Linked DNA regions of Pelodiscus sinensis. The protein of the gene in region 3 purifies or fractionates together with the protein of the main gene of each other region. This does not show direct contact. Links are inferred from orthologs where the notes say so. Each region holds a gene or a part of one and is shown on either strand. Other genes may lie near its edges.

The links.
Region 1: the proteins of EIF4G1 (region 3) and EIF3I purify together in Homo sapiens (affinity purification with mass spectrometry; 5 studies listed by BioGRID and IntAct, counting the BioPlex papers as one, with this or other methods). This does not show direct contact. The link is inferred for Pelodiscus sinensis from reciprocal best matches to the Homo sapiens genes EIF4G1 and EIF3I.
Region 2: the proteins of EIF4G1 (region 3) and PDCD4 purify together in Homo sapiens (affinity purification with western blotting; 3 studies listed by BioGRID and IntAct, with this or other methods). This does not show direct contact. The link is inferred for Pelodiscus sinensis from reciprocal best matches to the Homo sapiens genes EIF4G1 and PDCD4.
Region 4: the proteins of EIF4G1 (region 3) and MKNK1 purify together in Homo sapiens (affinity purification with western blotting; 3 studies listed by BioGRID and IntAct, with this or other methods). This does not show direct contact. The link is inferred for Pelodiscus sinensis from reciprocal best matches to the Homo sapiens genes EIF4G1 and MKNK1.

Annotation. Positions count from the first base shown.
Region 1 is NC_134735.1:3,621,013-3,628,244, forward strand, and holds the start of EIF3I (eukaryotic translation initiation factor 3 subunit I), read left to right. Parts: upstream 1-4,228; 5' UTR 4,229-4,273; coding exon 4,274-4,276; intron 4,277-5,558; coding exon 5,559-5,651; intron 5,652-6,763; coding exon 6,764-6,851; intron 6,852-7,232. Other genes in the region: TMEM234 (transmembrane protein 234), read right to left, coding at 246-338, 915-981, 1,512-1,663, 4,148-4,160. UniProt on the Homo sapiens protein: Component of the eukaryotic translation initiation factor 3 (eIF-3) complex, which is required for several steps in the initiation of protein synthesis.
Region 2 is NC_134718.1:66,934,220-66,941,303, forward strand, and holds the start of PDCD4 (programmed cell death protein 4), read right to left. Parts: upstream 3,007-7,084; 5' UTR 2,851-3,006; intron 1-2,850. UniProt on the Homo sapiens protein: Inhibits translation initiation and cap-dependent translation. May excert its function by hindering the interaction between EIF4A1 and EIF4G. Inhibits the helicase activity of EIF4A. Modulates the activation of JUN kinase.
Region 3 is NC_134720.1:48,593,722-48,601,174, forward strand, and holds the start of EIF4G1 (eukaryotic translation initiation factor 4 gamma 1), read right to left. Parts: upstream 3,001-7,453; 5' UTR 2,847-3,000; intron 1-2,846.
Region 4 is NC_134719.1:3,691,838-3,698,783, forward strand, and holds the start of MKNK1 (MAP kinase-interacting serine/threonine-protein kinase 1), read right to left. Parts: upstream 3,015-6,946; 5' UTR 2,885-3,014; coding exon 2,858-2,884; intron 1-2,857. UniProt on the Homo sapiens protein: May play a role in the response to environmental stress and cytokines. Appears to regulate translation by phosphorylating EIF4E, thus increasing the affinity of this protein for the 7-methylguanosine-containing mRNA cap.

The DNA.
Region 1 (7,232 bases), on a different chromosome or scaffold from region 3:
TCCATGAGAAGGTAGGATTAGCCAGATCGCCATTCTCTACCTATATAGGGCGTGTCCTCACTAAATCCATCCCCAACTCTGATAAGGTGAACTACTTAACTAACCATATACCTTGCCTCTAGAATTACATGATCTAGCTAAAGAGCATATCAACCATGATAACCTAGACAGATGGTATGGTGCTGAATACCAGGCTGTGTGTGCAGAAGATATATATAAAAGTAATGCACTGAAACATGACATACTTTTACCACCAATATCTTCTCCAAGCATCTTCCCAGTTAGTACCGTGACTATCAAAGCCAGAGAGTTACAGAGTGGCACCGCCAGGGACAGGTCTGAAATTGAACAAGGACATGGAGATACAGTCAGATTTTTTTTTTCTATGAACACAGTTTAAAAACTAAATTTTGTAAAAATCACTTTCTCCTCACTAATGCAAAACTGCTGTTACTGAGCGTATATATAGGCTTGGAAGGATTAGATTTTTAGTAATAAGTGTTGATTTCACTATAAAAAAAATCAAATTTACAGATAGGCAAGGTAAAAAAAATGCTGCTTGAGAACTTAATATATTTTAAAGAAACTTACTTTATATGTTTTGATGTGATATCATTATTTGTTCGTGATTACAAAGATTTAATATTTTGCATCTCAATAGCTGTCATTAAAATATTTGTCTAACGGCCCTTCATAAATCCCTGTGATTTAAAAATTTAAATGGATCAAAATACAAAAAAAGTTTAATACATGTTGATGTCATCTGTCAAAATTGAAGAATCATAATCAAATTCTATCCAGCCTAAGAGATGTGAAATTGACTTCTCAGATGGGCCACAGAACTCTTCAAGGATGACATGGTCTATCTAACCCTAGCTATCTCACTACATTGAAACATAATAGCAAGGACTAACCTGTGGATGCTAACGTGAGATAATAGATTATTGATCCACATTGATTAAACAGAAATGGCACCATGTACTAGGAGGAAAACATAACATATTCAGTCACTGCACATGAAATGACCATATACACATCATGAATGCTATTTGAGGCAGTGAAGCTAGTTGTTAGAGTGGGGGATTAGGAGCCAGGCTTTATTAATTCTATTTCTCAATCTACAAGGAAGTGTGGTCTAGCAGTTAAATCAAAGGGATCTGTTTGTGGTTGTGCCACTGACTCCTTATGTGAATTTGAGTCGGTCACATAACTTCTGTTTCCTAGTCAGTAAAAGAGAGACAACACGTAACTTACAGTAATTATATGAGGCTTAATTAACTGTGTAAAGGGCTTTGAAATCTTCAAGGGAAAAGTGGTATCATATGCAAGCTAACTGGAATATCACAAAGGATAAAATTTCCAGTAAAAAATGTCAAGTCCAGAACAGATATAATTAAATGATCAAGAAAATTAATGTTAAAGCCAGATTAAGGTACATACATTCAATATTATCTCCATCCAGGATGCCTCCCCCCTTGGCATCACTTGAAATGGTTTGGAGGTTTTAATACCTTGTAATTGAGGCACAGGAATTTCATCTCTGCAAGCAGCTGCGGCACCCGGTTCCCTTTCTTCACCTTCTCCAGTCCCTCTGTCCCCGTCTTCAAAAATGGGTTTGTCCCTCCCCACAGAATAGCCACTAGGACCAGTGCAGACACTTCTCCTGCATAGGGATGTTAAATACCAGTTAACTGAATAGTCGATTAACCTCATGAATTCTTTTCGTTTACTTGAATTTTCTATAGTCCCTGGGGGTGGATCCAGCAGCCAGTGTGCACCAGCCCCACTCCCAAGGAGCCCACTGCAACCCCACACTGCTGCCTCTGTATCAGAGAGGCAGCAGCGCGGGGTGCCAGGCAGGAGCTAATCTGTGAGGAGAACCAGTTTAAAAACCAGTTCCCCTTGCAGACTGGCTGCCTGTTGCCCCGCACTGCTGCCTCTGATACAAAGACAGCAGCCTCTGTCTGAGGGGAGGGGAGATCTGAGCTCCCAGATGCAACGCGATCTGGAACTGAGCCAGGCTACCTGCCCGCCTGGCTCCTAATACACTTTAAACGCAGAATCACAGTGGAGGTAGGTCTCAGACCCGGTGCAAGCCAGGATTGAGCTAGGCTGCTGGCCAGCATGCTAAAAAGTTTTCTGGCAGGGGCGGGAGGGAGGAATGCATGTAGTCTATAGCATTAACAAATACGTTTTTGCTTATTGGTTAATCGACTACATTATTACATCCCCACTCCTGCAACACAATCACAAACCACCACAATTCAGGGGTTATTTGTGTCTTGTGAGTTTCTCACTTTAGTTCCTACATCAGTCCTGTGCCTGCCACTGTGACTATCACAAATTCCCTCACTTTCTCTCCCTCTCCTTGGCTGTGTCTACACTGGGCCACGTATTCCGGAAAATCAGCCGCTTTTCCGGAATAAGCTGCAAGCTGTCTACACTGGCCCTCGAATTTCCGGAAAAGCAACGACGCTCTACTGTACAAAATCAGCCGCTATTCCGGAAAAACTATTCTGCTCCCGCTCGGGCATAAGTCCTTATTCCGGAACACTGTTCCGGAAAAGGGCCAGTGTAGACAGCCCAGTAGTCTTTTCCGGAAAAAAGCCCCGATTGCAAAAATGGCGATCGGGGCTCTTTTCCGGAAAAGCGCATCTACATTGGCCACAGACGCTTTTCCGGAAAAAGGGCTTTTCCGGAAAAGCAGCCTGCCAATGTAGACGCTCCTTTTCCGGAAAAACTGAAAACGGAATAGTATTCTGTTTTAAGCAGTTCCAGAAATTCATGCCAGTGTAGACACAGCTCTTCTGTTTTAAAACCCCAATTATGTAAATGCTGAGCATCCAGAACTGTCCTACCCCTTCTCCTATGCTTCCTGCTCTCTTTACCTCCATGCACTCTCAGCTTTGTGCCTTCTCTCATGTACACCTACCTGCTTGGAATAGTCCCTCCATGTGTGCTAAACCATCATTCCTTCAACAAAGCCTCCTAGCCAATGATCTTACCAACCTACCCCACATAAAAACTATTGTCTGTCTGGACCTTTTCTTACAATGTCTTATGTAACTCGCCAAATACCTTTACAGCATAACAGAACTGTTAATACAGTGTTTAGTAAATAACAAACAACCTTAACTGTGTTGTTACCAGCTCTAGCCCAATTATCACATTTAGCCCAGACATCACATTTGCAAACCACAAATGAATGTCAGATGCTAAAAAGCTCTGAGCTTTTATGGTGCATTATGTATTTTAGAATACTGCAGAAGACGGGACAGACCTGTTTGAATGCTGCTGACAGTGCAGGGTTTTGCAATAAACATTACTATGTCATGGTCACACAGGTTTATTACATACATTTATTTCTGCCGCAGTTCTTTTTCTGTCTATTTATTATTACAGATTATTCCAGTCTATGAAAACAGGTTCAACGGTCAGAAAACTGGGCTTGACTGCATTACTTTATGGGTCTTAATAGCAGTTTACTGTGACTCAGCCCGTACTGGCTAGAGCTGTGCTGGCACCCAGAACAACTCACTTCCTATTTCTGGCACTCCCCCAATGTCACCAGCCTGGAACCATGAATCATTTGTGCTTTCGTCCAGAACACGCGTATGGTGAGCAAAAGGAGCTGAGCAGCTTTAAAAGGCCTGGCTCCATCATGGTGCCCTTTAAAGGTGATGTCCTGAGAGGCTGCTGCCCCCGGCTCAGTGAATAAGCGGGTGTTTGTGTATAGAAGGTCAGTGAAGCGCCTTAGGTCCTCCTGTGGTCTCCAGATGGGAAACCTTGTCAATGTCATACAGTGTGTGTGTGGGGGGGGGGCTGCCCGCTCTTCCTTTAGTGAGCCCCCCCCAGGCCCCAGCACTGGGGAACCCTCCGACCAGCCTCTTCCCCTGCACCCCTGCCACTGAGGACACCCTGACTCTCACCTTCCCGCGGGGGGGGGGGGGCTGGAAATCCCCTTCCCCAGTGTCCCACCACAGGGACCGTCTAGCACCCCTCCCCCCACCCCACAAGGAGCCCCGCCCCTCCCCCCTGTGCCCCGCCCCTCCCCCTGTGCCCCGCCCCCAGCTGCAGAGACCCCGCCCCGGGGGGAGCCGCGCGCTGCCCGAGCGCCTGTCATGACTCCCGGAAGCAGGAAACTCACCCGCGGAGGCCATGCCGGCTCCGCTCCACTTCCGGCCCGGCCGCGCCCCCTGACCCGGATGTGGTTCTTCCTCCTTCCTGTTGTCACGCGGAGCTTGTGACTGGGCCGGGGCTGTGAGCGGTCGCCATGGTGAGTGCGGGGCCGAGGGGCGGCTGGGGCCGGGCAGGCCTGGTCGGGAGGAGGCGGAGTCTCGGGGGGGGGGGGAGAATTCCCCCTCCCCCCACGTCGGGTCCTGCCTCGGTCCCCCCCCCCCCCCGCTCCTTCGAGCCCGTCCCCGCAGCGTCCTGCCCCCCCCCGGAGCCCATCCCCCCCCCACACCACCACCACTCCCCCCGCCCGTCCGCTCCCCCCGCAAGCCCCCCGCCCCTCCCCGCAGCGTCCTGCCCCCCCGGAGCCCATCCCCCCCACCACTCCCCCCTCCCGTCCTCTCAGTGTCCTGCCTCTCCCGCCCCCCTCCCCGCCCCCCGCCGCCCCTCCCCGCGGCATCATGGCTCTCCCTTCTGTTTGGCTTGGAGCCCATTCCCCCGTTATGGTGGCCCCAGCGCTCTTGCCCCCCCCCCCCCCCGATCCCCTCGGCTGCCTCCTCCCCTCTTTATGGAAACACCAGCGGGGAGTTCCCAGTGTAACACCGGCACCTGCTGCCGCCCCAAGTACATTGCTGGGTCCCGGTGAGGAGCCACTAGGGGAGGGGTTCCCAACCTGGGGTACGCGTACCCCTAGGGGGTAGGAGAAGCGTGTCAAGGGGTACAGGGAATATTTGGTAAATAACTACATTATCCTAATTGAAATATTCCCTAAGTGGTCGTGTGAGTGAAAAAAGTTGGTGGATTCTAGAGTCTAGAATTTATTTCCTTTCATATTGAATAGGGGGTACGGGAAGGTTTACTAAAAGCCAAGGGGGTACAGGGACTGAAAAAGGTTGAGAACCCCTGCTCTAGGGCCTTGCTGCGCTGGGATTCCCACCCATAAGGTGAAGAAACGCTGGGGGGGTAAAGCCTTCTTATTGGGTGGGGTTAGCCACCTCCTGAAGTTGTTCCTGGCCCTACGCATCTGTGAGATGAATTCAATCCCCAGTCATCCTCGTTCCAGCCTGCTGGCGCATTGGGCCTTATTAAATGACAGGTCCCCTTCCAGGGCTACTCAGTGAAACCTAGCAGCCTGGGAAAATAAACAGCCAGTAAAGCTGCGTGGTTTGAGGACTCTGGACTCTGCTAAAGTTGAATCTTCGGGAAGATGAGGTTTTCCAATGCAGGTTTCAATGGATAAAACATTGAAATACGAGTAAATGGACTAGCTTCAGTTGTGTTTGGTGGAAACTCTATACTCATGTATTTGCACAAATCACAAAGCCCGAAGGTGTGTTTTATTTTAAAATACTGGATTTAAAAAAAAAATTCTGTCTCCTTTTTAGAAACCTATACTATTGCAAGGTCATGAGAGGTCCATTACTCAAATCAAATATAACCGAGAAGGAGACCTACTCTTTACAGTAGCTAAAGATCCTGTAAGTATTTCTGAGTCTTTGATTAACTGTTTCATGTCTCTCAAACTTAGGAGGAAGTTTAAACTGGATTCTAAAAAAGTGAAACTTCTAGCAGCCAGTTTAATATTATGGTTATGCATCATAGCCCTGTAGCTGAGGTGGTGTCAGTTTTTTGTTAACTAGTTATTACAGGCAGTCCTCGCTGTAAGTCCAAGATACATTCCAAAAAACTTGGACTTGTAGCAAAACAACTTAAAGTATGGAATTTTTTTCCCGCGGCTGACTTCCATTTGTGCAAATTGGTGGGGGTGGGGGTGGGGTTGCTCAATTTAAGAGCGGGGAATTGGAGGACTTACAACGCATCAGTTCCTACAAGTGTCAATGACTTTAGTGTGGAGTGGATGTACCAGGGCAACTTATAGCGGGTATGCCCTGTTACAGAGAGTTTGTATAAAAATTGGAAATTTAACTGTATTTTATCATCTATATAGTCTGAAAATCCCTTTCCTCCAGGGTGTTGGAGGTACTTCTCTTTCCCTATACCTGAAAAAAGTGTATTCCCATTCCGAGAAATCTTTGCTGCTTCCTGTTCAGTTCAAGGTCTAGTACAAAACCAACCTGCTTCCTCTTCAGGATGTTTCATATAGTAGTTTTCCACACCTAGCATTTCTGTCTCTCCTCAGTCTTACTTGAGCAGCATATTTTTTTTTCCTCTCCCTGTGTTCCACCTTAGGCAGTAATCCCACTCCCATTTTTAAATACTATTTCCAGGCCCCTGAAGAGAACCATCACTGCCTGCTTTTCAACATACATTCTGTTTAACTGCATTTATAAAATACCTGTTGCCATGCATTTAGTGATAGTATCTCTCAACACGAAGAGTGCACCATATTCCCTGTGACCATCCTCATTCGTTCTCCTACAATCTGACCTCTCCACCTTTTGACATTCCTGTCCTACTATCTCTAGTGATGCTGCCTGTAATGTAGGTTATAACACATGTAGTCCTACTTGTATGTGCAGTGAGATAACTTGAAATACTCAAAGATGAGACCATATGGAAGTAAATTACGTTCATTTATTTAGCAGTTTGATCAAACATGGATCCTTGACCAATTGTTTTGCATTACCAGATTGTCAATGTTTGGTACTCGGTCAATGGGGAGAGGCTTGGCACTTACAATGGCCACACGGGAGCTGTCTGGTGTGTGGATGCAGATTGTATCCTTTCATGACTGAAACCTGGCTGCTTGGCTTTATGGTGAGTCTTCTCACATGGGAAGTGAGGCGTTTTTATTGTGGACAGGAGGCAGTAGGCACTATGAGCGATTTTATTGTTGGCCTTGTGATCTTTCCTTTACTCTCCACTGTTGTATTTCCCTTCATTTGAAATAATAAGTGAACTGTGGGGTGTCGTGTTCCGCCTTCACTTGTTCAGATATCGCTTTTGACTGACCAGCTGTGCTGGAGCTCAATGCTCTGGCATTCCTAGAAGTAGGGACGTGAATACCCATTAACAAAGTTATCTGGTTAAATGATACAATTTTACTCGCTTAAATGGTTAACTATGGGCTGATGCAGAGTGGCTGGGGTCCCGTGGCA
Region 2 (7,084 bases), on a different chromosome or scaffold from region 3:
ACCGCCCACACGCCCTGAGCCAGCACCACGCATGTGCTGTGCGCCCGGGGCAGGGGCTGCCCATGCGCCACGCGCCCAGGGCGAGCACCACGCATGTGCCGCACATCGGGGGGGAGCAGCTCAGATGTTTTGACGGGCACACATAAATGCCCCAGCGGGCGCCATGGTGCCCGTGGGCACTGCGTTGGGGACCACTGGCTTAAGAGACTACTGAAGACAGCATTACAGCTTCTTATTGTGGTAAGAGTCCTACACTGAGGAAGCATCTGCACCGGTCTGTTCCAACAGAACAAAGGAGTATCCAACACATCAGCAGATACCTGCTTGGTACCTCATTTTGTCAGTTATATGAGTAACTTCCATTATCAACAAAGATAAATTACTTAATAGCTCAAATTATCCTTAACAACAACAAAACTCCACCAACCAGGCCTCAACACTCAGACAAAATGTATGTACTCCAATCATGGACCCTGGAGCCAAATGGCACAGATTTCCTCAATGCCAGTGTGATGTATGTGAAACCAAACTGGCTTGCTTTCAGTTTCCTTTCCTGGGGCCAGACAGCCAATACACGGGTGGACTCTTTAAGAACTGGGCTTGTAAAACCTTTTTGGAGAGGCAACTGACAATTGTTTAGTTAAGGGTTTTTTTATTATTTATATTATGGCAGAACAATGAACTTCAATCAAAGAGCAAGTATTCATTGTGCTTGACTCTACATGAAAAAACACGGAAGTCCCTGCTCTGGAGAGCTCACTATCTGGGGGTAGACAAGATAACAGGTGTACATAAGCGGGGGGGGGGGGGGGGAGAATAAAATAAAAGAATTTGCAGAATATTGTAAAATACTGCAAATTCAAAAAAGGATCCTGGGGCCTTTGTTTTGGAAAGAGGTGTGATTTTTAGTTTTTTTCTCAACTCCATTACTTTCTCTGGTTTCTGATGGACAAGGAGCTTTTCTGGATCATTCTCAGTCCTGCATGTTTGAATGAGATATTTCTATATATGTAGGTATTTACACTACACTCATGGTCAAGTAAGTATCTCATGATCACCTTCAACCAAAAATTTCTAGATTGAAAAATCTTTGAGCATGCATTCACTTTTCGAACTGTATTTCCACCTTACCCAACTTCAAGTAAAGGTTCTAATCCTTAATGCCATACAATGTTTTTAAAACTTCAGCCACTGTGATGCAGTCACATTTAAAAAGAAGCAAAGAAATGTGGCTTGAACTTCCCATGATTTTTCTCCCTTTCAGTAGAGGCCAAGTAAGACAATCTACAGCCTGAAATGTTCATATTTCCAGTTTGTGGACTTGTGAAAACAGCATCACAGCAGAATTTGTTTGTGGCCATGTGCTGCTCACCATGGTACTGTAAAAGGATCAGTTTCCATCTGATGTTTACATGTATATACACACTCTTTTACAGCACAGAATGCTCTATATAAATGCTCAGTGCTAGTTTTATATGAGTGTATAAACAGCCTCAAACATTATTCAGAAAAGATTAAACATACACCAAACCTCCACACACAGGTCTTAAAGCACACACTTTAAAGTATCAGAAATAACAACGGAAGTGGTTTTAATACAGATGTGGCAAGTCAGTTTTGTTTTTAAAGGTGCAGCTTTACAAGAAAGAAAGTGACTTTACAGCTTGGTGGGGGGTCAAAATATAAACCTTTTGCCAAGGTACTAACACCCTAAAAGTAGGAACCGGCAGCTTTCCTATACAGAAGTAAAGCAGGCTCCCTCCTCCCCGATAACCACTTCAATCCTAGCGCTGTTTGGGGACAGCCCGGCTGTCACTGTATCCTCACCCAGCCAGACTGGGGACCAGAGTGTCACCCCTTCCCCACAAATGCCAGCGATGGCATCCTTAGGCTGAAGACCAGGCGCTGCTCCGCAGAAGGGGCTTTTAACTGGGGGACGGAAGAAGGGAGGGGGAAAGACCCCACACCACCATCCGCCCCCGCTGGGGGGTAGGGAGGAGAGGGGGCATGAAGAATCCCCCACCCCCATTCCCTGCAGGGGGGGGCACCAACCCCACCAAGGACCCCATCCCCTCACCCCGCAAAGGGGGGCACCCCCAAGGACTCCACCCCACAGAGGGGGGACACCCCCAAGGACCCCACGCCCTCACCCCACAGAGGGGGGGCACCCCCAAGGACCCCACCCCGCAGAGGGGGGGACCCCCAAGGACCCCATCCCCTCACCCCACAAAAGGGGGGCACCCCCAAGGACTCCATCCCACAGAGGGGGGGCACCCCCAAGGATCCCATCCCCTCACCCCACAAAAGGGGGGCACCCCCAAGGACTCCACCCCACAGAGGGGGGACACCCCCAAGGACCCCACGCCCTCACCCCACAGAGGGGGGGCACCCCCAAGGACCCCACCCCGCAGAGGGGGGACCCCCAAGGACCCCATCCCCTCACCCCACAAAAGGGGGGCACCCCCAAGGACTCCACCCCACAGAGGGGGGCACCCCCAAGGATCCCATCCCCTCACCCTGCAGAGGGGGGGCACCAACCCCACCAAGGACCCCACCCCCTCACCCCACAGAGGGGGGCACCCCCAAGGACTCCACCCCACAGAGGGGGGCACCCCCAGGGACCCCACCCCCTCACCCCGAAGAGGGGGGGCACACCAAGGATGCGCCCGGCTCCCGGGGGGGCACATCCCTGAGGAGAGCTGGTAAGGACCCCACACGCCCCCCGGCCAGGAGGGTCGTGGAGCCCAGACCCTCCCCCCCCGGGGGGGATCCCACGAATTTCCCGCCTGAGGAGGCTCCTGGGGAGGGGCGAGGAGCCCCCTGCGCGCGGGGGGGCGGGGCTCCCGTTACCGTAGGCAGCAGCGGTCCCCGCCGCTCCGCTCCCCACAGCCGCCGCCGGCCTCGCGCTGCCCCCTGCGCTGCCCTGTTTGTTTTTGTTTTGTTCTGCCCAGCGACACGGCCGCGAGCGGCCGCCGCCGATTGGCCGGCTCGCGCCACCCGCCGCAGCCAATCACAGGGCGAAGGGGGCGGGGCAGGGGCGGAAGGGAAGGTGTGTGCTCAACCGGCCAGGAGGGAGGGCGACACCATGCGCTGGGAAGTGGGTGTGTTCGGCAGGGAAGGCATAGGAAGGAACCATTGGATGGTGCGGGGAGGAGGGGCCCGGGTGATCCAACACACTGGCTGGAGAGAGGGAGGGGTGAACAAACTCCCCAGGCCTCTTAAGAGGAGACGTATACAGGGCAGGGGGGGAGGGGTCTTTGCTGCCCTCTAGGGCCCAGTGCAGTGGTGGGAGGAGGTCCCAAAGTGCTATGCGCAGGAGGTATTGGGACTCAAATTGCATCCCTAGATTATGCCACCCAGCACTTTCTACGGGGCTGGTCTAAACGAGCTTAGGGCAGCAGGAACCTATGTTGCTGGTAGCCAAATGTCCATGCATTCTGCCACCCTCCAACCTCTTTAAAGGGGAGGGCGTTCAGCACTCGATCAGCCAGCTAGGGTTGCCAGATGGTTTCAACAAAAATACCGGACACACTTGACGTTACATCACCATCGACATTACATCTTAGTTAGAAAACTAGCCAATTGGCCCGTCATAAGACGGGATTTTCAGGTCTCTCCTGAGCCTCCGGTCTCTCGTTCCGTCTCTCTCTCTCTCTCTCTCTCTCTCCTCCTCCTCCTACTGCCTCACCCTCTCTCTCTTTCAGCTCTCCTCCCCCTCCTGCTTTTCACTCGGGGGACCGTGGAGCCCAAATGGCCGTTTGGGCTTCGTACTCCCCGTGCTGCATGGGGGGCATGGAGCCCAAATGGCCGCTTGCGCCACTTGCTCCCACAAGGCGGCCTGGCTGACCAGCGCAGAAGTCAGCCGAGCGCCACGGCGGGAGGTGAAAGGGGGCGGGGCGGTGACATTCACGGGCAGGGGGCAGGGCCTGGAGCTGCTGTCACGCCGCACGTCACCGCCCCACCCCCCTTCGCCTCCCACTGTGGTGCTCGGCTGACTTCTGCGCCGCTCAGCCGGGCCACCGTGAGGGAGCAAATGGTGCAAGAGGCCGTTTGGGCCCTGCACTCCCCATGCAGCACGGGCCACCCAGAGGGAACAGCCAGCATTTCAGGCAACAGCGCCCCCCAGAGGGAACAGCCAGCATTTTGGCGTTACAGACTCTCAGACACTGGGCTACTATATATATGATACCAGACATTTATATTTTCTCAATTTGTTTCCCGAACAGAAAGCTCAAATACTGGACTGTCCAGTTCAAAACCGGACACCTGGCAAATCTACAGTCAGCAAATGCTGGTTTGTTCATTCAGCACTATAAAATTTCTGGGGGCCAGCATATTCACCGGGGCCAGAGTCAGTCAAGTTGCATTCCCAAAGAGCCTTATTAATAGCAGTTATATACTGGGATCTAAAGGAGGAATAATTTTTCAGTTCCATAAATGTTTGTGGCTCATGGCACAGAGGCTATACCATCTAATACACGCAAGGATGCCACCTCCAAGGTACAAAACAACAGCATATCTGGGATGATGCTGAGCCCAAAAAAACTGAACAGCAGGCAGTGTGCATTATGAGTGAGTGCCTTTGCCGATTTCACAGGACTGCTAGCTCAGAAAAGGGACAATCCTGGGAACACCTAATTAGGTAACAACCCTAAATCCATGCAAGAAAAAAGCACAAGTCAAGAGGATGCAGAGCAGGTGTTGGAGTCACAGGATGTCAACAAACAGACCATTTCGCAATATTAATAGAAATGTAGCTGTGTTAGTCTGGTCTTCCTGAAGCAAAAGACAGGACTGTGTAGCACTTTAAAGACTAACAAGAGGAATATGAACAATATGAACAAGAGGAAAAGTAACAGTGAAGAAGGTTTAGGGAAAGGCCGCTGCTCTTAGTAAGGGAGCCAAAGCAAACAAACAATCCCAGCATGGCACTGTGAGATTTATCACAATGAGATCATGCATGCTATGCTCTTTTCCCCCCAACCTGAGGTTAGCCCTGCAGGACACCACACAGACCTGCTTATCATAGGATGTTCTAACTCAATAACTATAATAAAGGTAGCTTTAAGGCAGCCTATGTGATCTATATGCAGGACAATGTAGCACTTTAAAGACTAACAAGATGGTTTATTAGATGATGAGCTTTCGTGGGCCAGACCCACTTCCTCAGATCAAATAGTGGAAGAAAATAGTCACAACCATATATACCAAAGGATACAATTAAAAAAAATGAACGCATATGAAAAGGACAAATCACATTTCAGAACAGGAGGGGGATGCGGGGGGGGGGGGGAAGGAAGGAAGGTAAGTGTCTGTGAATTGATGATATTAGAGGTGGGGAGAATGGGATGTCTGTGAGCTAATGGTATTAGCGGTGATAATTGGGGAAGCTATCTTGGTAATGGGTAAGATAGTTTGAGTGTTTGTTCATTCCTTCCCGGAGAGTGTCAAATTTTAACATGAATGACAGTTCAGAGGATTCCCTTTCAAGTGCAGATGTAAAAGGTCTTTGTAGCAGAATGCAGGTGGTTAAGTCATTGAGAGAGTGTCCTTTCTGGTTAAAATGGCAAGAAACTTTTTTTTCTTTGTGATCTTGTCTGATATCTGTTTTGTGGGCATTAATCCTTTGGCGAAGTGTCTGAGATGTTTGTCCAATGTACATAGCAGATGGACACTTTCGGCACATGATAGCATAAATTATATTTCTGGATGCGCAGGAATATGTGTTCTTGATCTTATAACTCACTTGGTTAGGTCCAATAATGGTATCAGCAGAATGAATATGTGGACAAAGCTGGCAACGGGGTTTGTTGCAAGGGAAGGTACCAGGGTTGGTATTAGTGTGGTATGTCCTGTGGTTGTTGGTAAGAATCATCTTGAGGTTAGGTGGTTGTCTATAGGAGACTATGGGTCTGTCTCCCAGAGCCTCTTGGAGTATGGTATCCTGTTATCTATGCAACTGAATAAAGCACAGCACTTTCAGGCATACTCTCACATAGGCATATTCAACCCACTAGGCATTGCCTGACGCCCATGCAGATTAAATCACTGATTCCCCACCCATTACCCCATTGAAGGTTGTGGCAGAATCCCCCCAACCCCCTTCTGTTCTGAAATTTGATTTGTCCTTTTCATATGTGTTCATTGTTTTTAAATTGTATCCTTTGGTATATATGGTTGTGACAATTTTCTTCCACTATTTGATCTGAGGAAGTGGGTCTGGCCCACGAAAGCTCATCACCTAATAAACCATCTTGTTAGTCTTTATAGTGCTACATAGTCCTGTTTTTTATTAGGGATAACAATATTACCGAGAAAGGCGCATAGACCTCAGACAGACAAACCAATTTAGATTAGAGGCTGCAGAGCCTGAAGTGTGAGACAACGAACACACACACCTTAAGCAGACAGGCAGGAAGTGGCGAGGGAGGTAAATTGTCATATGTAAAACAGCATAGATAGAGAGAACCCAGAAGTGGAGAGGAAGATGACTAGTTCCCATGTGGGTAAAATCACAAGATCTACCAAGTAAGGCTAGCCTTACAAATAGCAGTACACTCCTGTTGTATTTGCCTACAATGTGGAAATTGAAAAGTTTGAGATTTTCATCTTGGCTACCAATCAACACCTGACCCCATTTGCTTTTCTCTTTAGCAAATGACAAAATATAAATTAAAATGAATGAAATACTTTTGGTTTTTAAAATTGATAAGATATTCTTGATCTTTAAGTGACTCCAGACTAGACTAGGGCAAAACCTGTGTTTTTTGCAGCCTGTCTTTATCGCATCCATCTTCTTTACCACAGCAGTGTTTTCTACAGAGTTGCAGCACTGAACATTTTGAGGTTCTGGCATTAGGTCTGAGCTATCACACCAAAGCCTGAGCAAGGCAGATATAACTCCTCTAGTTGAGGGAAAGGAGGGAGACTCTAGGGAGAAAGATGACTCAGGAGACATCCCTTTCAGTCCTGAAATTAGGAGTCTACTAAATACAAAACGTATTCAAAGTAAACTGCAAAAGTGAAACCACTATGTGCACTGGAAGGCTATGATATCTCTAGCCAATACAGTTTTTCTTTTATT
Region 3 (7,453 bases):
CTGACTTTGAGCAGAAATAACTGAGGCCCATAGCACTTTTGAAGAGAGGTTGTGATTTGGACACTGGGCAAACCATTCTGCCCAGCACAAATTCCCCTGGGAAACTTTTGGAAATAACCTTTCCTCTGCTTATTCCATACTAGCAACTGGCATAGGAACCCTACCCGCATCCCAAAAAGACTTCCAGAGAGGAGGATGGCAGCACCTTGGTCCTGCCTCTGCTCTCTAGAGCAGCAGAGCCAAATTAGCATGAACTCAGTGTCTCTCTCTGCTCCCCAAGCAGGAACCAGGAGCTTCTGTTGGTACCGGAGGAAAGAGGAACCGGCATGTGCTCCTGCCTCTGTTCCTGGCACTGTGGATGGTGCCCGAGCTGCTTCTGCAGGCGGCATATCCCTGCCATTGCTGTGCCAATTGGCCCACAGAAACGGAGGAGGAAGGGCATTCGCTGCCTTAGAGGGATGTTTCACAGGGACGGGAAGCGAGGAGGATGTTCTAGAGAAGGGGGTGTGGGCACAGTTCATCCTGGCTCTTCTCTGCTGTCTGTTCTGCAACTCTGAGCCATGCTCAGCTAGTTAGGAACAGGCCCCTGGAACAATGGTCCCTCCCCACTCCACAGCACTGCCCCTTGGGTGTAGGCAGAGTCAAAGGTGACCACTTTAGGTGCCAACTTTCTTCTTGTGCTTGTGTGTCCTGGAAGTCCCCCAGAGCTAGACCAGCTGCAGGAGGGGAAAACAGATTCCAGTCTGGCAGTAACAGAACTGTTATTGAAACCCAGTAAGCGGTTCAGGGCTGCACAGATGCTAACGGGGGCTAGAGCTCAGCCCGTGGGCAGGACACACCAACCCTGTGTCCCCTCCAAGGATCCTGGCCCCTTTTCAGAGGCCAAGAAACTGAAGGGTAGTGACGCAATTTGTCAACTTTGCCTTTTGACCAGGAGGATAAATAGGGAGCCCTCAATGCCATTTTCAAGGGCTGGGTGACAGGTACAAAACAGCTCTCAAGAGTCACAGAATAAATGAGCTCACACTATCCTGCATGCAGAGCTGCAGGAGACCAAAGAACATGCCCCACTCACGAATTCCAGCTAGGCAGCTGATTACTTCCCCTCCCCCCGCCCCCCACCATTTTTTGTTCCCTGGAGGACATGCACACCCCAGCAGAACCCAAAATTTGGAAAAAGGGGCAGAAAAAAATCCTGTTTTTTCTTGCTGCTTTGAGGCAGGGGAGACCTGCGCCTAGGAAAACATCTAACAAGCCAGTTTATGGAACAAAACAAATAGGAGAAGGGCAAATGTCCCCACCGGGGGCTCAGCTTTAGACACCCCCCCCCCCGCTACACTCCATTGGCTTTAGGGTCCTGCCATGGACCATGAGCGCCCATGGGGCACAGCGCACCCAGCAAAGGCATATCAGTTCTGGGGCATCTCACCAGTCACCACCAGGGCCGACGGACCCCAGACTCTGCCTCGCCCCTATAGAACAGGCAGACTTGAGGATCCTACCCCCCACGCGAGGAAATTCCTGAGGAGGGGGCAGCGCGCACCCCCCCCCCCCCCCCCGGGACTGTCCACCAGGAGCCGTCCCCTGCCCGGGCTGGAGCCGGCCAGCGGCTCCCCCCGCAGCACACGGAGCCGTGGCAAGGCTCCTGTCGGCCCGCCGCTCCCAAGGCCCGGCGGCGGCCTCTGCCAAGGACACGTGTCACTCCCGGCGGCGGCCATCGCTTCTCGGGAGAGGCCCGGGCGGGAGCCGGCGCCCCCGCGCTACGGAGCGGCGGGGAGGGAGCCCGGGGCGGGCGGGAGCCGGCGCCGCACAGCCTGCCCGGGCCCGATGGAAGCCGGGCGGCGGGGACACGTGGGGGCCGGGCCTAGACGCCGGCTCGGAAGAGGCCGGGGCTGGGCCTAGGGACGGGAGGGGGAGCCGAGAGCACGTGGGGGCGGCCGCTAAGAGCAGGATAAAGGCATTAGGGGCGGGGCCAGCCGTGCATACCGCGGGGGAGGGGGCTCGGGAGGCCCACTCAGGCCCCTATAGACGCCGGATATTTAAGGGGGGGCGCTCAGGCCCCTATAGCGCAGAGGCGCCAGGCATTCGGCGCGAGGGAGCCTGTGCGCACCGGGCGCAGGGGAGACAGACGTGGCATGCCATACGGGCCGTCGGGGCCTATAGCCCGCAGGAATTTGGGAAGGAAATGGATGCACTCCAGCCCTGGCGCTGGGGGGAGGGGCTAATAAGCCCCTACAGACACCATAATGGGGAGGGCCTATAGACAACAGGCCTCTCCCAGGGGCAAGTGTTCCGGGCGGGCGGGGAAGCGAGGCGGCCGAGGGGCCGTGTGGCACCTGGGGGCGGGGAGAGGGGGGACCCCCCCCCGACAGCGGGGATTCGGGGCGGGCAGGGAGAGCCAGGCCTGTGCATGTGCGTGTGGGCGGTGCGGGGAGCCCCAGGGAACCGGTGCGGGGAAGAGACGATCCGAGGGGGGCAGGCCCCCCAGGCTGCGGGGGGGGGGGCGGATCAGCCCCACGGGGCCGGGGCGGAAGGAGCCAGATCCCGGTCTCTGCCCTTCCAGGCCGAGCCCTAGGCCCGCCCTGGGGGGAGGGGGGCGGCCAAGGCCGGGCCCCCCGAGCCGCGCGCGGGCTCCATGTGGCCGGGCCGGGCAGCGAGCCCCCTCCCCACGTGGTGGCCGGGCCGGCGCACATGGGCCGGGCGGGCGCGGGGCCGGGGCGGACGTCGCGGGGCGGCGGGGCCGGGCTCCCCCGGGGGTGGATGGCGGCGGATTGCTCGGCCCCCCCCGCCCCGGCATGGCGGAGGGAGGCGGCGCCGCCCGGCCGGCCCGCCCCGGCCCCCGTTACCTTCAGTCTCCTTCAGTCCGAGCGGCCCGACGCAGCCGCAGCGCAGCCCAGCACGACCATTTCCGGAGCCGCTCCGCGGGGAGGGGCGGGGCCAGGCCGGTCACGGGGCGGAGGAGGGGGCGGGGCCGGCTGAGGCCGTGCTGCGCCCCTCCCCGCCCGCTGCGGGGCCCGTGTCATGTGACCTGCAGCCCGCCTCTTCCGGAGAGCCCGGCATTTCAGTCATGTGACGCCCGGCCTCAGCAGAACCTTTGTCATGTGGCCTGCCGGCAGCCACTGCGCTTGGGCTAGTGGGGCGTTCACGTGAGCCGACGCACTTCCGGTTCCTACCTTCGCGCGCACATGTGACGAGCGCGTGTCAGGCGTGGGAGGCAGGGGTGCCCCAGGCTCCCCGCACCCAGCGGCCTGCCGCGGCTTGTCGCCTCCCCCACACGCTCCTCGCTGGGGCTCGGCGTCCCCCGCCCTGGGCCCCCACCCAGACCCCCTCCCCCGCCCCTGGGCTGAGCTCTGTCCCCGGGTCCTGCACCCGCCGACCCCCAGGCTCAGCAACTGCCCCCCCCCACTTAGTCCTGCCCCTCCCCCCGGCTTTAGTGCCTGTCACTGACCCGCTTGCCACCAGGCTCAGCAACTGCCCCCACACACCTCCCCCTAGGCTTAGTGATTGTCCCCCCACACACCTCTCTCTGGGCTTAGTGCCTGTCCCCGTCCCCCATGCCTCCTCCTAGGCTTAGCACCTCTCCCTCAGCTTAGCCCCTGCCCCCCAACACACACACCCCTCCTTCTAGGCTTAGCACCTGTCCCCCACCCATCTCTCCCTAGGGTTAGTGCCTGTGTCTCCCACTCCTCCCCCCAAGTTTAGTGCCTATCACTGACCCGCTTGCCACCAGGCTCGGCAACGGCCCCCACACACCTCCCCCTGGGCTTAGTGCCTATCCCTCCCACTCCTCACCCCCAGCTTAGCACCCATCCACCACACACTCTTCCCCCTAGGCTGAGCACCTGTCCCCCACACACACACCTCCACTTTGGCTTAGCACCTGTTCCCCCCCCACACACTCTTCCTTCTAGGTTTAGCATTTCCAAAGTCCTTACACCTACTCCCCTCCCCACACCTCTTTCTCTAAGCTTAGCACTCCCTGCCTCCCGTGCACCCAATGGCCTAATACTTTGCTACTCCGGAGTCTGATGCTTCCCCCCCCACATGCACACCCTAAGCATGGTATTCTGCCCCCACCTCTGACCTAAACACATTCCCCAGTTTGATGCTGCCTACCACCAAGCTCCAAAACACACCTCCATCCATCCATGTCTGGTACTGTGCCCTTTCACCACATAAACATTCCACCCGCCCAAAAGCTGGTACCCTCTGCCCTCATCTTCCCACATACACATCTCTCCAAGCCTGACACCCTCCACATACATAGGCATCTGCATGCGCACAGTGGCACTGGGCAAAGGGGGCACAGAGCTGTATGCTCACAGGTGCCTACATCAAACAGCTGGCAAAGTTGAGAACAAAAACCAAGGTGGATGGCGTAGCTTTTATTAGAGCAACTTCTGTTGACGAAAGACACAAGCTTTGGAGCTCCGCTGAGCTCTTCCTCAGGTTAGGGAAAGGTAATCACAGATCAATACATGGGGGAAGAGATTTTATGTGCATTAGATCAGGGGTTGCTAAACATTGTCATGGGGGGGGGGGGACACACCTTTCCTCACAATCATGCTAAGTTACCTCTTTACCAGTCCTGGTCACCTCCCATTTACTTCATGATTTCATAAAGTCATGATGGTATTTACAGTTGCTCATATGGAAAAGTAACATTAGGAAGCTACTTATGTAGCTGCTTCAGCTTCTTCTACCTACAAGGATTCACCATGTGGAAGTGAGGAGCCAAGACCCACCTTGGTCCATAGCCAATCCATAGCCTTCCTTCTCACTTAAGTACCACTGATCACACTGATGTGAGGTAAGGAGGAGGGAAAGAACAGCCATGATGGATAGTGGGTGGGGCCTGACCCATTTGCATCCTTAATATTGGGCAGTGACTCATTTCATGCCTACTCCTTAGCAAACATGTGAAGGCTTGAAATATAGGCTTTGGGACAGAATAGGAGAGGGGGTGGCAGAGAGCAAGCAAGGGATGGAAAAGGAGAGCAGGATGCAGCCAAATTCTAGTTCCAATCAGATTGCCAGAGCCTCTGACACACCTTCTGATGACGCTGTTACCAGCCCCTTTTAGCAGAGGAGGAAACCCAGAAAGCCTTGAAGGAAATTTCCCATAGTCATCTCTGAATAGAACACAAGAGTCCTGACTCCCAGTCTTCTGCTCTAGCCACATCACTTCACAGGGCAGTTTAGCTCCTGTCTGAACTTTTCTAAGTTGGGGGAGGGGCCCTACCCTGGCAATTATTCAATGCCTAAGCTGCCTAAAATAAAGCAGATGGCAGCCACCATGCCTCTGTAACATGGAGGGGTGGACACAGAAACTACCAATACCAGCATGCAATGCGGAACTAACTTGTCCCAGCATACAAAGGCCCCCTTCAGGTCACATTGGTGTATTGCATACTGGAATCTGGCAGCTGATAACGAGTGTAAGCTCCAGAAGTCCATTTGGCCTTTCTGGTTACTATAGTGCAGGACTACTCAACTTTGGAAGCCCCGGGGGCCACAATGATACTCACAGCATATGCCGAGGGTTGCAACTTAAGTGTGGTTGCATATACATCCAAATATATGCAAATAGCTTCTTTCATACTGACAGGCATGAATACAAAGATTAAGGCAAGACTACACAACACACAGGCCTCCTTTAAGTCAGTTCTGATATTAATAAAATGCAATATTCACCTGATTTCCACCCATATGACAGCACTTTCAGTGAGCAATGACAGTCCAGGAATTTTACTACTAAAACACATATCAACAGAAGACCATTATATTGACCACTTTTTTGATTTGGCTCCCACTTGCGGGCTGCATGTTGAGCCCCATGTAAATCCAAACTACCCTGTGGGCCACAAACAAATGGGCTGTGTGTTGAGTAGCCCTGCTGTAGTGCCTAAAACCACTAGTCAGGTGCCAGGGCTCGGTGCTGTACAAATACTGAACAAAAAGATTCAAAGCAGATACATGCTCAGAGGCGTTTACAATGGGTGAGGGGCATATGCGCCCATCTGAAAAGAGGGTCTTGGTGCCAAGAGGGACAGTGATTTGTGAATTGAAACATCTTGGGGGAGAAAGGGAGAGTGGTGCGCACCCAGGCTGTTTCTAGATTGGCATGATTTTCCGGAAATGCTTTTAATGGAAAAGTTTTCCATTAAAAGCATTTTCGGAACAGAGCGTCTAGATTGGCAGAGACGCTTTTCTGCAAAAGCACTTTTTGTGGAAAAGCGTCTATGCCAATCTAGACGCGCTTTTCTGCAAAAAAGCCCCTATTGCCATTTTCGCGATCGGGGGCTTTTTTGCAGAAAACAAATCTGAGCTGTCTACACTGGCCCTTTTGCACAAAAGCTTTGCGTAAAAGGGACTTTTGCCTGAACGGGAGTAGCATAGTATTTCCGCAAGAAGCACTGGTTTCTTACAGTAGGAAGTCAGTGCTTTTGCGGAAATTCAAGCGGCCAGTGTAGACAGCTGGCAAGTTTTTCTGGAAATGCAGCTGATTTTCTGGAAAAACTGGCCAGTCTAGACACAGCCCCAGTGTAATTGGCCAACTGTATCAATTTACCCATCTTAGCTACATAGCAACTAATGGCTGCATTGCAGTACAGCCCCTCTCCGAGTTACGAACCAAACACTTGGTCATAACTCGATCCGTTCGTAACTCGGACCCCATTGAGTTACACGCGACCATGCTGTTCATAAGCGCAGGTCGCGTTCGTAACTTGGGGACCGCTCCATGGAAGCTTTGGTCATAGGTGCAAACGGTCGTAACTCGACCGTTCGCAACTCGGGGAGCGGCTGTACAGACAAAAGACCCAAACCCCCATCTCCAGGGCACTCGCAATCTGAGCTCAGAGCAATGAGTGGGGAGGGACGGGGGAGGTTCTGACAAACTACAGAATTGCTCGTTCTGTGGCTTCGGGATGCAAGTTGATGTCCAGCTTTCTGGAATTAGCTGGATTTTCACCTTTAACATGCCACTGAACTGGTTTGGGGAACAAAAGAGCAGAGGAATGCAGGGAGTCCAGGAGCCCTTCAGCTAGGATAGCAAACAGGGTGGGGACAGGGCTGATATGAGACTGATTTGCCCGAGTTAAATCAAGCAGGGATTACACATCAGAGCAGCAGCTGAGTTCAACAAGTGACCATGTCCAGAGCAGCTGATACTGAGAGCCAGGAGATTGGCTGGCTACACGGCTCAAACAGCATGACTGAGCAAAATTGTACCAAAACAGCCACCCTGGCACAGGCTGAGCCAGTTAGCCAGGTTCCAGGAGCAAGGAACTGAGCCACCTGCAGGGGTGAGGCAGCAGGGCCAGACTGCCTGGAGCTGGATTGGAGGCTGCTGCTCCGGAAATGAGATAAAACACAGAGCTCAGCACCACTCCTGCTGTGTTGGTAGCGGCCCAGCCACGGGGAAGGGGAGGGGAAGAGGGCGAATCAATCA
Region 4 (6,946 bases), on a different chromosome or scaffold from region 3:
AGATGTAGAAATATAGTTAATTCCAAACAGCCTACTTCTTATTTTAGAACAGCTGTTATATTAGTTTCATTCTGGGAATGATTTGGGGCTTAAGAGGGGGCTCCAGGCTCGGGCAATGTGTCAGAGTGCAGTGCCAGAGAAGACAAAGGCTCTAGGAGAGAGTTTAGTGCTGGAAGACATTCGGACCTGCGGCAGGAGGCTGGGGTACAGGAGCGCGTGAGGAAATGCTTACTCCAGGCAGCTCCTCGCCAGCAGCACACAGGACTCAGGCGGACTGCTTGCATGCCATGACCCCATACAGCTCCTTCAAATGACTAGCTTCTGGAAACTCTCTGCTTCCTACTTGGGGGATAGGAAGATGGCAGGCGTTGCTGATGTTGCTGGGAACTGGCCAATAGGAGCTGTGGGTAGAGTCCCGGAGGCAGGGGCACCATGTGCAGTCACCTCCCTCCCACATCATGCCAAGGCCCACAGAAACATGTCAGCAGCTTCTGGGAGGGATATGGGGTCACAGGATGCAAGCAGCCTGATTGAGCACTGCTGCACCGCTGAACTTCTAGCAGCCTAGAGATTGTGACCGACTGGCAGAGGCTCCAGAAGCCACCAGTCAATTGCAATCGAGGGGTTGGTGACCACTGATTACATTATTATGGACATATTTTTGTGGATCCCTCCCCTTAGCCAGAGGCTTTTCAATTCTCATTGTATTTTTAAGATAGGAGAAATATATAGTCAATACTGAACTCAAAATAACAGATTAAAATATCTAAAAAATACAGTATTTATTTTAACTAGGGATGTGAAAGTGCAAACATGGGCTCGTTGGTCAACCTTCACAATTACATGCAAGATCCCAATATATGCAGAGAGCTAGCTTAAAAGCCAGTCATGGTGCGCACCCGCTCCCTCATGCTGCTGCCTCGGTCACAAGCGGGGGAGGGAGAATGTGGGAGCCAGTGCATGTGGGGAGCCCGCACAGCACTCCCCCCCCATGTAACCCTATGGCCTCTGAATTTTTCAGCAGTTACATGTTTATTTAATTAACCACATTTTAGCATCCATAATTTTAATAGTGAAACAGAGACAGGAACATTTCCCCATCTCCCCCCCCCCAAATGAATTATAGTCTTATTAGTAAACATCATCTTTGATCGCTGCACTCTCTTTTATATAAACTACAAAATACCCTAGGTCTGATGCTCTCATGGAGTAGTTAATTATACACTAAGCAAAAAGAATCTTCCAAGTTGTTTTTATGTTCCAAATATGGGGCTCCAAGACTAGAAGCTCCTTCACATAGTACTGATCTCCCAAAAAAGAGCTATTTTGCTGGACTGCATCAACATAGGTTATTGTATTGCTTCTCAAATGATAATATCAGGCTCTAAGTTCATAGGCGTGGATTCACAACACCTCTCCAGATAGTTGATACAGTTCTGGAATTTTGTTTTTAAGTCTCATCTTAGCACAAAAGGAAAAGCTTTCCAAGAGTAGAAGAGACCAAACCAAAACCTTAACTTAACTGGTAAAGCCCCATATTCCCTAGCTCTGTTCCTCACAGGACCCGCCCTCACCCCTTGTCCTCCACCAGGGCTGGGTGCCCTAGTGAGAGACCAGGAGGCCCTGCCCTCACCAGGGTCGGGACACCTTCTCTTCTCCCCACCTTTATCTGCCCTACAGTATGGGGTCCCCCTCCTACACCGGGCCTGGGTATTCTCCCTCTCATGCCCCCCCCCCCCGAGCTCACAATGCCTCTTAGGCTGGGGCACCCCTGTTTGGGGCTGTGCTAAGAATGCTAAGTATTGAGTAAATGACTGACTGTGTGTACTCAATATAGTTTGTATTGAGAACATAATACGTTGGTAAGGGGCCGTTGCGGCTCTGCAGTTTAAATGTAGTAGGAGCTGAGTGCGCAGCCACCTGGCTCTTACTATCTTTAAAAAAGCAGAACCGCAGCACCGCTGTGCCTCTACTTCCCCTGCCCTCTCCGCCCTGCACCATGCAGAGGGTGCTGGGGGGGGGGGGGGGCTTTTAAGCCGGCCTACCCCAGCACCGGCTCCTGCTTCCCCCTCCTTGCTGCTTCCAATAGAGCGGCAGCGGGGGGGGGGGGGGGGAGCGTGAGTAGTGGACTCGACGGCTCTTCTACATCCTTCGGCTGGGCCAGTGAAGGGGCGACTGGCTGGAGCAGAGGAGACTGACCCTGGACTATTGGACTAGTGCTCGGGCGCCCGGCCCCGGGTGAGAGGACAAGGGCTGCAGGCCTGTGGGGGAGGGGTGGGAGGGGTGATACCTGGGAGGGGCCCGGCCCGTGGAGGGGGGTGATTCGCGGGGGGGTGATTCGCGGGGGGGGGGGGGGTGATACGCGGGGGGGGCTCGACCGGGGGGGGTGATACGCGGGGGGGGGCCCGGCCCGGGGTGATACGCGGGGGGGGGCCCGGCCCGGGGGGGGGGGTGATACGCGGGGGGGGGCCCGGCCCGGGGGGGGGGGGGTGATACGCGGGGGGGGGCCCGGCCCGGGGGGGGGGTGATACGCGGGGGGGGGGCCGGCCCGGGGGGGGTGATACGCGGGGGGGGGGCCCGGCCCCGGGGGGGGTGATACGCGGGGGGGGGGCCCGGCCCCGGGGGGGTGATACGCGGGGGGGGGCCCGGCCCCGGGGGGGGTGATACGCGGGGGGGGGCCCGGCCCCGGGGGGGGTGATACGCGGGGGGGGGGGGGCCCGGCCCGTGGGGGGGTGATACGCGGGGGGGGGGGCCCGGCCCGGGGGGGTGATACGCGGGGGGGGGCCCGGCCCCGGGGGGGTGATACGCGGGGGGGGGCCGGCCCGGGGGGGCTCCCGGCGAGCAGCGCCCCGCTTACCTCCATGGCGGCCGCGCACCCCTCCATCACCTCAGCGGGCGCGGGGCTCCCCTCAGGGCAGGGCGCCGCCGCGGAGGCTCACGGGAGGAAGAGGCGCGGCGGCGGAAATGGGGGAGGGGGGGAGAGCGGGGAGGTGCGCGCGCGCGCCGCTGGCAGGCCGGGCAATCGCGCGCCGATGTAATCGCGGGCGGGGTGAGGGTCGCTGCAGGCGCGCGGAGAACGGCAGCCGCGCGCAGGCGCAGTGCTGCTAGGAGGAGTGAGGAGCTGTGGGAGGAGCCACAAGCCACGCCCCCTGGCCGGTGGGCGTTGTTTAGGCGCCACCTGCTGGTCTGGCAGACCAGGGGGTGAGCTGCTCCCCATGGGCAGGCCAGCTGGGCCCCAGGCTGTGCAGCTGCCTCTTGGGAGTTGCGCTTTCCCCACCCACTGGCAGCGGTGCAGAGGGCTTGCACCTGCCCTGCTGAGTCGTGGGGCAGGCAGGGGGCTACGCCACGTGCTGCTGTCGGGGGAGCAGAGGGAGGTGTGAATAGCATGGGGCATGGGGTATGGGGCTAGCTCTGCCAAGGCGTATAGAAGAGTAGCCATCCTGGGTTAGGCCAACAGGCCGTCTAGCCCAGTACCCTGTCTGCCAGCAGCAGCCAGTGACGGGTCTTCTGGGAAAATTAACAGACCAGGGTAATTAGTGAGTGGTCCATCAGCTGAGCCTGGCTTCCTGTGGGCAGTGATTTAGAGACACCCATGGCATGGCCTTGCATCCCTGCTCATCGTGGCTAATAGGCCTGGATGGACCATCCCCTTCCCTTCTCCTATTTATTTCGACTTTCCTTATCCTCTAACCATAACTCTGGTCATCTGAAGAAGTGAGCTGTGCCTACAAAAGCTCATGATTCCATCTACATGTTTTGTTAGTCTATAAAGTGCTACCAGACTGTTTGCTTGCTGTTTTTTCCTGTAACAGACTAACTCTGCTACCCCCTGAAGCTCCTGAGCATATCTAGTTATTTTTTAAACTCAGACTTTTTGGCTTCGACAACCTACCCTGACACCCATAGGTAGGACAGAAAATGTCTGGGGTTCCTAGCAACGGGGAGTTCCTGGACGAGTCTGTGGTGGATGCTGGGGCAATGCCTGTGACCCTGTCCCCTCTCTTTGCATCCTGCCATTGGCTCCCTTCACCTTCCCCTTCCCTGGGCTCTCCTGCTTACCTAAGAGGTCAATTTCTGCTTGCCCTCAGCCCACGAGGGCAGCCTCCATGGCCGAGTTGTTACAGCACCTTTGTGCAATGCCCATGTTGCCTTTTGTGCTTGTCAAGAGTGCCCCATAAGCACCCACAAAACCAACTCATTGTCCTTCAAAACCTCCTTTGCTGTGACATCTACAACAAACTTAATGAGGAGGCTGCTGGTGTGCAGAGGCCCCAGCCCATCCTTTTGACCATATTGTCCAGAGCCAGGCAAAATATGGCCTGTGGGCTAAATCCTGCCTGCCAAGCTGCTGGATCTGGCCTGAAGTCACAGTGGGAGCCTGTCAAGCTCTCTCCCTGCTCCGCCCCTGCATGCCACTCAGAAAAGCCAATGGTGGGGCCTTGTTCATCTGTGAGCAGCTGCAAGCCTAGGAGGAGGGGAGAAGAGGCTTCATGCACTGCCTTCCCCCAGCAAAATCTTACAGCTCCCATTGACCGCTTTCCAGCCAATGGCAGCAGCCTGTTTGAAGACCCTCCCTCTTCCTCCCCTCAGGCTTGCAGCTGTTCGCAGATGCATGTGGCCCTGCAGCTGCCTGCTCTGAGTGGCCTGCCAGGGCAGGGAAGACAGGGAACTTGCTGGGCTGCTGGCCAGGAGTCACCCAAGTAAGCATCTCCTGGCCAGAGTCTGCCTCTGGCACTCCAGACTCTTCCTCCCCCCAACCTTCTTCCCTCCCCCACTTCACATAACCCAAACCATTTGCCCCTCCTATGTTCACGCATATCTCCTCCCAGACCCTGCACCCCAATCTCTTGCCCCAAGTCACAGTACCTTCCTGTCCAAGGTCACAGCCCAAATCTCTACACTCCCTCTTGCACTCCAGTCCACTCTCCCAGCTTACAACCCCCCTCCTTCACCCAAATTCCCTCCCAGATCCCACACCCCCTCCTACACTCCAATCCTTTACCCAAAGCTCCCTTCTGCAATCAACCTCCATCCCGGACCCCGCACCTCCTCCATTCATATCATGGAAAAGAGCGGCCCTTGACCACTTTACCAAATTCGTAGAATGACCTCCCCCATCCAAAATTATTGCCCACTCCTGATATAGTGTCTTGTACTCCCGTTAGCCTTTGTATCCATCCACTGTCTCCTGGAGTGCATGCTCCTTGGGGAAGGGATTTCTTCTTTGTTCTGTGTTTGTAGCACTCTGGGGTCCTGGTCTGTGACTAGGCTTCTAGCTGCCAAGACCGTACAAATAAATAATGTACTGTTTCAGCTCAGAAGAGAAGAAGCCTGATGCCAGTACTGAACCTGATCCCTTAACCCAGATCCTTAAAGGTACTTAGGCCCTTACACTCCAGTGCTGGTGCTGCTGTCCCAAAATCTTTCTCCAGCCGCTGTCACTGATCCAGCTGGAGAGGGAGATGAGGGTTCTGGTTATCAGCCTGGCAGGCACCCGTGTGGCTTCCAGTGGCCAAAAGGCTCGTCTGCAGACAAACGCCGGCAACCTTCCCAGCGTTCAAGTGGATTCGTGAGAATCCAGCTGAGATAGCGGAATGCCGACCTGCCGACGGAGGGGAGAGGGGAGACAGAGCTGGCGCACCACTCCGCCAGTCTGCGCAGCTATGAGGGCAGGACCGACTGCCTGAGGCCCTGCCCCTTTGAGGACGTGGAGCTGGGGTCCACACACACACACTTCGCCCAGGGCCCCACAGTTACGGTTGCCAGATGGTTTAACAAAAAATACCAAATCCCCCCTCCCCAAAAATGGGAAAAAATTCTGTTGAGCAAAAAAAAGGGGGGGGAGGAGAGACCAAAGTTATTGAGCAAAAAAAGGGGGGGACGCTACACCTTTCAATGGCCCCGCATTCCTCACTCCCCTGCAGCAGGGGAAAATTGTCCCCGCTGGGCTTCCGTCCGAGGGAAACAAGAAATACCTGATTTTTTTACCAGCTGGGGGACCTGAATAACAGACAGTCCGGGTGAAAACTGGACATCTGGCAACCCTCCCCAGGGTGGTGGTCGGCTCCGCTGCTGGCATGTGTGACCAGACTCCCAGATGCATGATCGTTATGTGAAATACAGGCCGCTTGGCAGTCAGGAACGTGTATGGATGGAAGAGCCCGATATGGAGCTTTGTTGCTTCCCCTGCAAGGGGAAAATCACGCAGCAGAAAAGATCGTTATAAACAGCAGAGGAACAGAAAACCTAATTAGGAGTCTGGAGGCTTTGGTTCTATTCCTGGCTCGGCTGCTGTGTGACCTCGATCCGTCACTTTCCCTTTGGGGGCCTCTATTTTCTGCCCCACTCTTTGTCTTTTTTATTTAGATTGGAAGGTCGGCGGAGCAGTTTGTACGGCAATCAGCACAATAGGATCCAAGCTGGGTTGGAACCTAGATGCACACAGTAATGCAAATAATAGTTACACATAAATGTAATGAACAAGGAAACAAAATTCATAATATGCTTCCTATAGCTTCCGAAAATGTCCAGTCAAGTTCTGAAAATGCAAAGTGCCAGCGTCAATTGAACTTTTCAGACAATAGCGAACGTATGTTCTGGTTATGCAATAGAACGTAGCAAGGACATTTATCTCACGGAAATCTTTCATTCAAGAGCATCTATTTGGCTCAAGTACTCTCCCAGTAAGTGAATACCGTATTATATTTATGCCTGTGGCATCCCCTACACATCTCTTCCACCAGTTTTCTCTCATATCCAGCAGCGAAAGTAACTGAAAGGCAGGGCATATCTAGACAAGGGAATTAATGTAGTTTGAAATAATAACTCCAGCAATAACTATTTCGAAATAGCGTGTCCACACTACAGAAAGGCCTCAAAATTAGTCCGAGGCAGGCTCCCTCAATGTGGATGTTCTACCGTGACTTAAAGCCCCAGGAAGCACTGG